Linked DNA regions of Macaca mulatta. The protein of the gene in region 3 purifies or fractionates together with the protein of the main gene of each other region. This does not show direct contact. Links are inferred from orthologs where the notes say so. Each region holds a gene or a part of one and is shown on either strand. Other genes may lie near its edges.

Region 1 (4,140 bases), on a different chromosome or scaffold from region 3:
CACAGCCCCTCCCCTCTTGACACTGGCAGTGACCTCGGACTGAAATGTTCTTCCCTGGCCCCTCCTTATCCTTCAAATCTTGGCTTCGAAGCCTTTTCTCAGTTTCATTGACCAGCCTATCTAACATTTCCTGACGATTCCCCAGAATATCACCCATTTTATTCTTCTTTACGGACTCATTTCTGGCTCGTAGTAAACGTTCAGTAACTGTTAAGTGAACTGAATCTCTAATTTCTGGTCGTTAATTTGTAGGGACCACTTTCCCGGATTTAAAAAGTGCAGGTGCTCTGGCAGCGTTAAGTCGGTGAAAACAAGACTATTCCGCAAAACAAAAATAACCTGTTTATTCATCAAAAAGTTATTGTTACACTTCTATACTGTCAATTCGTGTGTGAAGTTGTGTCTGATCCAAGACCTCACAGTACAAGCATAGATCCCAATAACTTGTAAACAATATTTTGTTATTCGCAATGCAACCCTGAGCTAACTTTTCAAAAAGTCATTTTTCTCAATTTCCCGTTAGTGAAAGGAATTTAAAAATTCTGTCCAACGTGGTCAATGGACAAAACAAATAAGGACAACAGAAGCGTGAGCCACTGCTAACACAACAGCGACCAAACAATCATGTACTGTACCAGGCGTGTAAAAATCTGGGGGAAAAGGCTCAGTCTTAAGGCTTAAGTCATCGGACACTGGTCCTCTACCGGGGAATAAAACGGCCTCCTCTGAGAGGGGAATGTCCTGAATTTTCCCTGCAGAGGGAAGGTCACCTACAAGCCCGCATTCGGGCCAGCGCTCCCGAGGGCCCCCTAATCCTCATCTTCCTTTCTGCTCCATCAGACCAGAGACCGTGGCTAAAAGCCCCACTTGCCGGCTCTCAGAGGCTTCCGAGGCGGCGGGGCGGGAGGCGGCTCCCAGTCAAGGACAAGAGAAGACTAAGTCGCGTGGGCCAAAGGAAACAGTCCCGTCAATAAATAAGCCTCTGACCCATGCACCTCACCCTTCCCATCCATACAAGACCTCACCTTCTCCCCGGAGCCGCGGAGGCTGTTCTGCTAAACTGTCTGGACCACAACTACCCCCTTGGAGGCCGGGTCGCTTACTCAATATGGCGGCCTCAGCTAACTCTGTCAGCCGGGCCTGGAGAACGGAAAGCCCGGAGGGACTAGAATCCTTGCATTCGATAAGTTTGTCGGCAATTTCCGTCAGCCGACCAGAGGGCGGAGCTGAGGTCGGCCCAGCCCGGAGGCGGGAAGGACAACTTGGACCCGCAGTTCCGCCGGAAGTGGCCGGCAGCCTCGAGGCCGAGCGTCTTCGGTCATCTCCGGCGCTTCTAGGGGCGGTTCCCGTCATCTTCGGGAGCCGTGGAGGTATGAACTTAAGACATGCCCATTTTATTAATTTATTTCCAAACGCAACGAAAGATCCAGGGACAATTTGTGAGCCGTTTAATTCAGGGCCCCCAATTCGTACGTGGAGAAGTGGGAATGCTAACGTACTTTGACCTTTAACCTTCGGTCCGGCGTGGTGGAGGGAAACGCCTCCGTCTCTATATAAGGAATTTTCCGGCTTCTCCGGGCCCTTTTTCCTCTCTTAAGCGCGGGGAGCCCACAACTTGTGCGCTCTCTTTCTGCTGTTTCCCAGCTCTCGGATACAGCCGACACCATGGGTTTCGGAGACCTGAAAAGCCCCGCCGGCCTCCAGGTGCTCAACGATTACCTGGCGGACAAGAGCTACATCGAGGGGTGAGCGGACCGGCTGAGTCGGGGTGGTGGAGGGGTTTCTGGGACCGGGGCCGGGGCCACGTGGCGCAGCGTGTCGGCTGCCGCTGGAGGGAGGGAGACGGGGCCCCAGGGCCCTTTCGAGGATGACGGGAAAGCGCCCCGTGGCCATCTCCCAAGGCCCTCGTGTGGTGCGAGCCCGGCCTCCGGGGAGCGGCTCACGAGCAAAGGAAGGTTAAAATGTGCTTTATTTACACTTAATTCAGCCAGGTGTTTCCACATCGCTGCCCAGTTAATACATGTTAGGTTGTAGATAGAGCAACGTTAGAGATTGCAGTATTTGAGGTCTGCAGACATTTCTCAGGATAGCGCGGTGACCCAAACATATGGTTTGATTTTAAGGAGATAATAAGAAAAGAAAAGCATTAAAGCAACCCTACTGGAGTTAGTGCCCACTAATTAATGTGATGCATAGGCACTGATTATTTATTCGCTGGCGTTTGTTTTTCAAAGGTGTGTGTGAATGTCTCTGTGTCATTGGCAGGTATGTGCCATCACAAGCAGATGTGGCAGTATTTGAAGCCGTGTCCGGGCCACCGCCTGCTGACTTGTGTCATGCCCTACGTTGGTATAATCACATCAAGTCCTACGAAAAGGAAAAGGCCAGGTAAAATCATCTTTGTATCTAGCTGAAGAATAAGACTACTCTCGAAGCTTTATCAGGATGTTCACATGACAAAACTAGACCCAGGCTACTTTAGTTTTGTTGGGGTATTGTAAGCTAAATTTTTCTGTAACCTGAGAAGGCCAAGAGACTGAAGCCCTCCATTTTTTCACAGAACAGGTAGAACATGGACAGCAGCAATTCAACTTTTCCCCACACTGCCCTGCCAATGTGCCTCGACCTTGACCTGGGGGGCCCACCTCTGGGGTGAGAGGGTGGCTCATTCATTCAGTCCTTGGCCATTCTTCTGAAACTGCCAACAAGGGTGGAAGTTTGGGGAAGTGGACTCCAGTTCACTAAGAATGGAACTGAGCATACTTAATGAAATCTCAAACAGAAATGTTCATACTGAAAGAGTAAATCATAGTGAGTATTGAAAATAATGTCTCACATGGTACTAATGCTTGTCGGGTGAGGAGTTGAACATATGATAGTGTTTACCTGGGAGCATGTGAAAGGGTAAATTATTATTGCAAAAGGGATCTAGTGATAAGTAGTGATTAAAACAAGTTATTTTGTATTGTCTGGAAAAGTATGTTATACTAGCTCAATAGTGGTTGAATTTAAATGTTTTTCAAGCCTGCCAGGAGTGAAGAAAGCTTTGGGCAAGTATGGTCCTGCTGATGTGGAAGACACTACAGGAAGTGGAGCTACAGATAGTAAAGATGATGATGATATTGATCTCTTTGGATCTGATGATGAGGAGGTATGGCATCTTCTATAAAGAATATATCGGCCAGACACGGTGGCTCACGCCTGTAATCCCAGCATGTTGGGAGGCTGAGGCGGGTGAATCACGAGGTCAGGAGTTCAAGACCAGCCTGACCAAGATGGTGAAACCCTGTCTGTTCTAAAAATTTAAAAAAATGTGGCGGGTGTCTGTAATCCCAGCTACTCAGGAGGCTAAGGCAGAGAATTGCTTGAACCTGGGAGGCGGAGATTGCAGTAAGCCGAGATCATGCCACTGCACTCCAGCCTGGGCGACAGAGCAAGACTCCGTCTCAAAAAAAAAAAAGAATACATCGATCAGCAATTTTATCAATGTGGTTAAGCCAAATTGCCTGGATTTGAATCCTGGCTTTAACTTATATGCCTTTTTCAAATTCTGACTGGTTGCATGATGAATAAAATCAAATCACCATCTTTCGGCTGAGTTCGTGATGGATTTGCTTTTTTCTGATTAAGCCAGTCTTTTTTGTGATGACCCCACTAGCTTTAAGCAGATGACAACCGACTTTCTGAAGTGGATTAATTTTTTTTCTTTACAGGAAAGTGAAGAGGCTAAGAGGCTAAGAGAAGAACGTCTTGCACAATATGAATCAAAGAAAGCCAAAAGTAGGTCATTTGTTTTTAACTTCATTTCATGATAATGTAAGTAATCTTTTTCAAAGCTTGACCTTTAAGTAATTTCCTCCACATTCCTTGAACAGGTCAATATTTTAAAACCTCCTGTAGAAGTTCTTCCACAGCTACTGGTCTGCAGCTGTTCTTATGGTAGCAGTTGTGGCATTCCTCTGTGGGAAAGAAACTGTTAACACAAACACCTCTTTCTTAGCAAAACAGAAAGTGGGCATATGTGTGACAGACACAAGATGTATCTGTAGTTTTGTTTGGCTAAGGAGATAGTCAATCTCAAAACAAATTGAGGTGATTTGTTTGTGTCTTGGAGTAAGGTAAAAAAATACAGTTCATTAT
Region 2 (4,093 bases), on a different chromosome or scaffold from region 3:
ACGTATCGGAAAGGCAGCAGCAAGGCTGTGACAGCCGCCAGGTCAGCCAGAGTAGGGGCCTCCCCGGCCAAGTAGGTGTGCAGCCGAAGCCACTCCTCCAAGGGGCTCAAGGCCCTGCCCAGGGCCCCCAGCACAGCCTGGCAGGAAGGGGAAGAGGTGTGAGACAAGGTTTGGCCCGCCTCCATCTCCCACCACAACCCTCCTTTTGGCCTCCCTCCACCCCACTCCAACAAATCACCACCTCTGAGTCCCATTTCTTCACTCAAGTAGTCATAATAAAAATACTTCTGACTCATCCAGCAAATGAAACTCAATACTTATGTGTTAGATGCAATATGTTAAGCATAGAAGTAAAGATTATATGAGGCAACTCAATAACTGCCAGGTTCAGGACATCAATAAATATTTAAGTACTTCTCCAGAGAATGAGAGGACAACACGAACAGATAGACAGAGCCCTGACCTGGTAGAGTTAACATTCTTGTAGGGGAACAACAAATGAGCGAATATAAAATGCAGTGCTCGGGCCGGGCCTGGTGGCTCACGCCTGTAATCCCAGCACTTTGGGAGGCTGAGGCGGGGGGATCATGAGGTCAGGAGATCGAGACCATCCTGGCTAACAGGGAGAAACCTTGCTTCTACTAAAAATGCAAAAAAATCGGCCAGGCATGGTGGCAGGCACCTGTAGTCCCAGCTACTAGGGAGGCTGAGGCAGGAGAATGGCGTGAACCCGGGAGATGGAGCTTGCATTGAGCTGAGATCATGCCACTGTACTCCAGCCTGGGCAACAGAGCGAGACTCCGTCTCAACAACAACAACAAAAAAAAACAAAAAAAACCCATGCCATATTTTTCTTAACTCCTATGAAGAAAAATAAAGCAGAATGAGGGGAACAGGGGCCGGGCGCCGTGGCTCACGCCTGTAATCTCAGCATTTTGGGAGGCCGAGGCGAGCAGACAATCTGAGGTTAGGAGTTCAAGACCCTGGTCAACATGACAAAACCCCATCTCCACTAAAAACACAAAAAATTAGCCAGGCGAGGTGGCAAGCGCCTGTAATCCCAGCTACTCAGAACGCTGAGGCAGGAGAATCACTTGAGCAGTGAGCTGAGATCGCACCACGGCATTCCAGCCTGGGCAACAGAAGGAGACTCAGTCTAAAAAAAAAAAAAAAGAAAAGAAAAGAAAAAAAAGAGGGGAACAGGGAATTCCAGGAGAGAGGAACTCTATTTTATTTGTTTGTTTGGACAGACATTCTGAATGTAAGGACTCTATAGGGTGATCACAACATGAGGGAGCAAGTCAGGGTCTGTCGCATTCATTCATCCATTCAATAAATACTAATTTCCTATCATGTGCTCAACACCATGCAAGGAGGTGGAGTTGAAAGTACACCAAGGCTCAGGTCTCCTTTGGAAGGACTGATAGTTACAATCTGGCAGGGTTATCTCTCCTCTCACTTCCCTTCCTCATTTCATTTCTCTTTTATCTCCTCCCAGCAATTGTCATCTCTCCCTCACCCAGTCTTTTCCTGCAATTCAAATAATTTCTATCCTCATCAATTTCAGACTCATCAAACTTTTACTAAGAGACTTTAAAAGTGCCCGGCACTAAACTATGTGCTCTGCGCACATCTTTTAATCCTATTAACTCAGTGAGGCAAGCATTACATCAACTTGCCTGTGTGTTCATAGACATAGGACGACCAAGACACAGCGGGTTTATGAAGCGTGCCCAGGGTTACCATACCGGTTGGCAATCTGGGATTTGATCACTCTTTTCCCACATCTGATGTGCTACCTTCTTGTCTCACTGTCCATTCCAGTCCTCGCTTCCCTCCTCTGAATTTCTCCCCTCCCCCTCTGTACAACCCCCTCACCTGGGGGTCCTGGGCCGAGCTTCGGAGGCCCAGGGCCGGCAGCGTTGCTCCACAGGCAGCTGGTATTAACTCCGTGTCGGCGTAACTGACCCACTGTTGGACGAGGACAGCAGCCCGGCTGCCCCCTGGGCCTCCCAGGCCTGCAGGCCACAGCAACTGGGACACAGCCGTGGCCCCCCACACCCAGAGTCCACCGGGCCCCTGCTCCAGGGCCGGCAGGCGGGGTGGGGGAAAGGGAGTCCTGCTAGTCGGGGGCGGCTGGAGACAGATGCGGGGGTGGGCTCCTCCCCATCCGGGACCCTCCCCAGCCTCCCCATAGCGAGCGGCTATGAGGGCTCGGAGGCTGGGGAAGGCATCTGGGTGAGGGGAGACGTAGAGGATGGACATAGTTATGAGAGGGTCCGAACGAAGTAGAAAAACCTAAGAAGAAAGAGAGACAGGGGATGACTGAGGGATCCAGGTGGGTCCTATATTTGAGTAGAGAGGGGACCCTCACAGGAGCTCCTCCGCCGCAGACACCCGAGTCCCCCAGGACTGAGGGTCTGACCAGGCAGGCTGTCAGGAGCCAAAGACCTGGCTCTCAGAGGAGCAGTGACAGTAGGGAGCTCCTGGGGAAGAGGGACTATCCATGATCGCGAGGCTTCGGGGAGTGTGGAAGACTCTCAGGAGCCGGTCGGCGTCTGGTTGGACGCGGGTTCGAGCCGCGTGTACGTACTGGAGGGAGATGGTAAGACTGGACCGGGAATCCACCTCACAGCCAGGCGCCGGCCGCGGCTGGACCGGCCGGGCGGCCGGGGCGGAGGAGTCGAGCGGGCAGAGATGGTGGGCGGCTCTCCAGGTGACCCTAGTTCCCTGAGATCGCCGCCCCGGCAGCCGGCGCCCACGTGTTCCCCCCTTTGTGACAGGGAGAGTTTCCGGGCCTGCGGGTCCTGGCGGGGGCGGCCTGGCCCCGCCTGCGTGTACGCACACCACCGTGTCCGACACTGCCCCGGGGGCCGCGCCGCCCGCCGCCAGCCGCCAGCCGCTCTCACGAGGAACAGCGCAGGGCGCGGGGCGCTGGGCGCGGACGCAGGACGAGAGGACGCCCCCGGGCACCGCGCTCCCGTCAGGCGCCGCCACGGGCACCTTGCGCGGGTCCTCGGGCCGGGTGGCGAGGGCGGCGCCCAGCGGGCAGCTAGGGAACTGGCCCAAGAGGGTCAGCTGGCCCTGCAGGTGGAGAGCGTTCCCCACCCGGTATCGGGGAAGAGCCCAGGAGGGAGCAGCCTGATGAGGACCGAAGGGGAGGTCCATTTGCCGAGGCCCTGGCGTCCAGCTTCCTCTTTGAGCCTCATCTCCTCATGTATGAGAAAAGGGTGACGGCCGGGCGCGGTGGCTCACGCCTATAATCAATCCCAGGACTTTGGGAGGCCAAGGCGGGCGGATCACCTGAGGTCAAAAGTTCCAGACCAGCCTGGCCAAGATGGTGAAAGCCCGTCTCATGCCTGTAATCCCAGCACTCTGGGAGGCCGAGGCGGGTGGATCACAAGGTCAGGAGTTCAAGACCAGCCAGGCCAAGGTGGTGAAACCCCATCTCTACTAAAAATACAAAAATTAGCCAGGCGTGGTGGCGGGCGCCTGTAATCCCAGCTACCCCGGAGCCTGAGGCAGGGAATTGCTTGAACCCTGGAGGTGGAGATTGCAATGAGCCAAGATGGTGCCACTGCACTCCAGCTTGGAGACAGAGCTGGAGTATTTGTAAAAATACAAAAATTAGCCAGGTGTGGTGGCACACACCTGTAATCCCAGCTACTTGGGAGGCTGAGGCAAGAAAATCACTTGAACCTGGAAGCGGAGATTGCAGTGAACTAAGATCATACCACTGCACTCCAGCCTGGGTGACAGAGTGAGACTCCATCTCAAAAAAAAAAAAAAAAAAAAAAAAATATTAGCCGGGCATGGTGGTGGGCATCTGTAATCCCAGCTACTCGGAGCTGAGGCAGGAGAATCACTTGAACCAGGAGGCGGAGGTTGCAGTGAGCCAGACCACACCAGTGCACTCCACCCTGGGCGACAGAGCAAGACTCCCATCTCAAAAACAAGAAAAGGAGGGTCATGCTAGATGGTCTCTAACGGTCCCTTAAGGCTGAGAAGTCTCATCTGTTATCATGAACTCTTTGCTGAATGAGTGAATGAAGTTTAGTAATTCCCAGTCACAACTTTTCTCCAAAATATAAAT
Region 3 (4,087 bases):
CCAGCGAAGCCGCCAGATGGGATAAACCCCTCCCCCGCCAGGGCTCCCCTTTATCTGAAGCTGCGGACGCCCCCAGATCCCTTCCTCAGCCAGAGGCCAATAATACCACCGTGTTTGGGGCTGTCAGATAAATAACCCTCGGTGTTATTTTATTTTAAGGTGAGGAGAAGGGAAAACGGAATGAGGTCAGGAGGAGGCCCTGGCTGCACCGATCCTTCCCGATGCTCCAGCCTCCCCACCCCCCTGAGGCTTCTCCTCCCCTTCCTCGCTCTGCCGGTCACGGGAAGCTGGGGGGCCTCAGCCAGTGAGACCCCCACAGGAGGGGACGGGCTGCAGTCAGGGCAACAGCGATGGTCACTACCCAGCTGGGCATAGCTCCCCACCAGGGCCTTGCACAGACTGGACTCTTGCCCTCCAAGAGGCTGCCCAGCCTGGAGGGGACCCAGACGGGACCCAGCTGGGGCCTGAACCAGCGGCCCTCTGAAACCCCCGCCTTCTCCCGACGAGGCTAGGTAAAGGGTGATGCAGCCCAAACTCAGGGGTGCAGCTCAGAGCACCCACCTCACCAGGGCAGAGACTCAGCCCAGGACAGCGAGTGCCCCCCTCCCCAGGCCCTGGCCTCCACCTTCATCATCCAGGTGAGAGCTCCCACAGGCCCTCCCAGAAGTGGGCTTCTCCCCAGAGCCCTGGGCAAGGGAGGGGGACCAGAGAGCAGACCCTGACTCATGGCCGCTCCCCACCACTGTCTCAGCCACCAAAGAGGAACCGCTTCAAAAGGTCAGCCAGAGGGCCGCCTCATCCAGGACCCCCACCCCAGGGGTGCACTGGACAGCAGCCCTCCACAGCCCAGCACAAGAAAATGGAGCAGACGGGCCGGCTGCCCATCAATCAGCTATTAATAGCAGCGTGCGTCCTGGCAGGGCCCTGGGACAAGTGAGGGCAGCACCACCTCCAGCCCCAGCCTTGGCCCTGGGGGGAAGGGGGCAAGGCTGTAGGGCCCTCCAGCCCCAGCTCAATGTGGCAGAGTTCCAGAGCCTTCTGTGGACCCTCCCAGGTCACCTCCCTCACCACAGGGCAAGTCCGGCAGCTCGATGGCCACCCCTCCCCCACCAAGCTCTCTGCAAGAGAGGCTGCCCCACTGGACCCTCTGAGGCCTGAGTGCCCCACAGCAGGGGTCCCTCCTGCCCTGGAGGTCTCCTGAACCACATGTCCTGGGGCTGGGAGATGCCAAGCCTGGCCACCACAGGAGTTGGGGGTTCCTTCTCAGGGGGCCAAGACCAGAGCCCCCGGAGCTCACCTCAGCTGCCTCCTTCTCGAACTTCTCGATGGTCCTTTTGTCGATGCCCCCGCACTTGTAGATGAGGTGGCCCGTGGTGGTGGACTTGCCAGAGTCCACATGGCCAATGACCACGATGTTGATGTGGGTCTTCTCCTTGCCCATTCTGCTGGGAGTGTGAGGGGCTGGCGGGACCCGGGGTGCTCTGGCTCGGGGCGAGGGGGGGGCTGCAGTGATTCTGTGGTGCCAGCAGTGGGGGGGAGACAGGTGATGGGGAGCCCAGGGGGGAGAGACCAGCAGAGACTGTCCTGGCACAGGCTGGGCACACATCTCTGCCCACAAACCAAGCCCCCATGTTTGGTGGGGAGGGAAGGGCCCCCACCCACAGCTGGGCCTGGCCAGGGCAAGTAGAGGCTGTACACTGCCGCCACCCCACACTTGAGCCCAAGCAGCCCCATCTGCTGTAAATAACTGGGCGTTGGGAGCCTGCAGGGCCGCTCCTTGGGAAGGGGTTAGCCACCATTTGGAAGGACCACGCAGTGCCAGGCTAGGTACGTCCGTGACCAGCAAAGCAGGGTGATGAGTCACCTGCCCAGTGCTCCAGGGCCCTGTCCTCCACGCTCGCTCCCCTCCCCGGCAGCAGGGCCAGGGACACAGCGCCCCACCCCCACCCGCTGCCACCGGGAGAGATGGCCACTGCTCCCCACTCCCCTCCTCAGGCAGGGACGGCGCCATCTTCCCCTCATCCCTGCCCGGCAGGCTGGGCCAGAGCCCCGACGGAGATGCGCTGCCCAGATTAGGGACCCAGAATAGCTCTACGTGCCACCCCCCCAGACTCTCACAGGGACAGACAGTGGCCAGGAGGTGGGGGTCCCTGTTCCAGCCTGAGGAAGGAGGACCCGGTCCAGCCAAGCCCAGCAAGTGCCAGGTGGAGATGCCCTCGGCCCGGTGGGGATATAGGGGGCACCCTCCCTCCCCCCTCCCCTCCGGTCAGGGCCCTGGGTCACAGCCCCGTCCCATCACAGAGGTCAGTGGAGAAACCCACACTGCTCCTCGGGGACAGGCGGCTGGGGGAGGCAAAGAGGATAGAAGCCACCCCGGGGTGGGAACACGGGTGGGGGTGGGGAGGCCAGGGCCCCCAGATCTCACCACCTCCCTCAGCGTCCTCTGGCCCAGCGCCCCGAAGCCCGACCCCCATCAGCCCCTGGCACTGAAGACGCTGCCCCCAGCCCGCAGGGTCCCCGCGGCCCCAAGGTCATGGCTACGGGGAGATCGCCGCCCAGGACCCGGCCCCGCCGCCCCGCGCCGCCCCGCGCCGCCCCCCACCCCCGGCCCAGCCCGGCCGACGCGGGGACCCCCGGGAGCCGGAATCCGGGCGCGCGCGGGGGCGGGTGTGGGTGCCGGGCCCGGCCGCCCTCTGCCCCGCGGGACCGGCCCCGGGGGTCCCTCTTCGGAAGACGGGGACGGGGGCGGAGGCCCGGGGGCCGAGCGTCCTTACCCGGAGCCGAGGTCTCAGCCAGAGGGACTGGCGGCGCCGGCGCCGGCGGTTTTATCTCCGGGAGGGGGTCCACCTATTGACGGTGGCGGCGCAGTGCACCGCGCCCTGCAGCACGCCAATGCGGAACCGCGCGGGAGGGGGCGGGGCGCGGACGCGCGCGGGCGGGCGCCACGGGGACGCGAGGGGATGCGGGAGGCGCGGGCTGCAAAGACGGACGCGGGAGGCGGGAGAGAAACGCGCAGCGGGCGGGGGCGGGGCGGGGGGCAGGGCGGGGAGGCGGCGGGAGGGAGGGACGGGGATGGAGACCGCGCTGGGAGAGCGCGGCGGACCCGGGAGACGGGGCGAGAGCCGGCTCGGGGCAGGAACACGCTTCAGCCGCGAAAAGCGGTCCCCGGGGACGGGGCAGACGCCGAGGACCGGAGCCGGCAGGCGGGGGAGGGGAACAGCTGCGCTGCAGCCTGGGAGACGAGCCTGGGTCTACCGGCCCCTCCCCGGCTGCTCATGAGGGACGCCCAAGAACCCCCGAAGCCCGGCTCTGAGGGGCTCTCCCTAGTGAGGCCAGAGGGTGCAGGTCTCAGGGTGGAACCCCGGAATCTGCTGGTTTCCAGCCCCTGTCCTCACGTGCCTGCCCTCCTGGGCGCACCATGACAGGCCCCCAGGATCCGGCGCAGAACCACCCTCCCCGGAGAGGCTGGTCCCACGGTGCAGGGAACGCCGGAAGCCCGCTCCCAGACCCACTGACATCTTCCAGGGACCCTGCCCTCCGGGGGCGCCTACTGCCGGCTGCTGCTGGGAAACAGCGCCAGCCAAGGGCGAGTCAGATCCAGACAGACCCAGGCCCCCGCCCAGCGCCCACCCCGCTGCACCTCAGCGCCTTGCGGCTGTCCTCATATGGGGTCAGGATGCCAAGCCAAAGACCGGGCCACGCTCTGTAGGAAGTGGGGAGTCCCTGAGGTCCTGGGCACCCGCGGGTAATGACCAACGTGGGATGTGAGGAAGGGGATGTGGCGGCCATGTGTTGTGTGAAGACCAAGGTCAGGGGCTTCCTCCCAGACCCCAAGATCCTGTGGTCTCACCCGGGTATTCACATCTTCCCTCCCACGCTGCCCCCCCTACTCGGATCTTCCTGCCAGCAGGGTCTCGGGGGGTGTGTGCTGAGTGGGGGCAGAGCCCTGGCACCTGTCCCGTCAGCCCTGAGTGCCCACTGAGTGTTGACATGGAGGGCCTGGGTCGGGCCCAGCACCTGCCACTGGGTAAAGCCATGGGGATCCCCAGAGACTGGACCCCTACCAGGCCCCCTGGCAGGTGTGAGG

Evidence for each region. The genes of interacting proteins can lie anywhere in the genome.
Region 1: the proteins of EEF1A2 (region 3) and EEF1B2 purify together in Homo sapiens (co-immunoprecipitation; 4 studies listed by BioGRID and IntAct, counting the BioPlex papers as one, with this or other methods). This does not show direct contact. The link is inferred for Macaca mulatta from reciprocal best matches to the Homo sapiens genes EEF1A2 and EEF1B2.
Region 2: the proteins of EEF1A2 (region 3) and VARS1 purify together in Homo sapiens (co-immunoprecipitation; 3 studies listed by BioGRID and IntAct, counting the BioPlex papers as one, with this or other methods). This does not show direct contact. The link is inferred for Macaca mulatta from reciprocal best matches to the Homo sapiens genes EEF1A2 and VARS1.

The regions. Positions count from the first base shown.
Region 1 is NC_133417.1:111,412,082-111,416,221, forward strand, and holds the start of EEF1B2 (elongation factor 1-beta), read left to right. Parts: upstream 1-1,340; 5' UTR 1,341-1,665; coding exon 1,666-1,745; intron 1,746-2,265; coding exon 2,266-2,388; intron 2,389-3,024; coding exon 3,025-3,151; intron 3,152-3,554; exon of another isoform or gene 3,555-3,633; intron 3,634-3,713; coding exon 3,714-3,780; intron 3,781-3,906; exon of another isoform or gene 3,907-4,036; intron 4,037-4,140. UniProt on the Homo sapiens protein: Catalytic subunit of the guanine nucleotide exchange factor (GEF) (eEF1B subcomplex) of the eukaryotic elongation factor 1 complex (eEF1).
Region 2 is NC_133409.1:150,522,938-150,527,030, reverse strand, and holds the start of VARS1 (valine--tRNA ligase), read right to left. Parts: upstream 2,801-4,093; 5' UTR 2,594-2,800; intron 2,299-2,593; 5' UTR 2,266-2,298; coding exon 1,879-2,265; exon of another isoform or gene 1,813-1,878; intron 244-1,812; exon of another isoform or gene 186-243; coding exon of another isoform or gene 138-185; coding exon 3-137; intron 1-2. UniProt on the Homo sapiens protein: Catalyzes the attachment of valine to tRNA(Val).
Region 3 is NC_133415.1:116,360,600-116,364,686, forward strand, and holds the start of EEF1A2 (elongation factor 1-alpha 2), read right to left. Parts: upstream 2,801-4,087; 5' UTR 2,775-2,800; intron 2,397-2,774; coding exon of another isoform or gene 2,211-2,396; exon of another isoform or gene 2,196-2,210; intron 1,515-2,195; exon of another isoform or gene 1,443-1,514; 5' UTR 1,442-1,442; coding exon 1,298-1,441; intron 1-1,297. Other genes in the region: PPDPF (pancreatic progenitor cell differentiation and proliferation factor), read left to right, coding at 2,211-2,396. UniProt on the Homo sapiens protein: Translation elongation factor that catalyzes the GTP-dependent binding of aminoacyl-tRNA (aa-tRNA) to the A-site of ribosomes during the elongation phase of protein synthesis.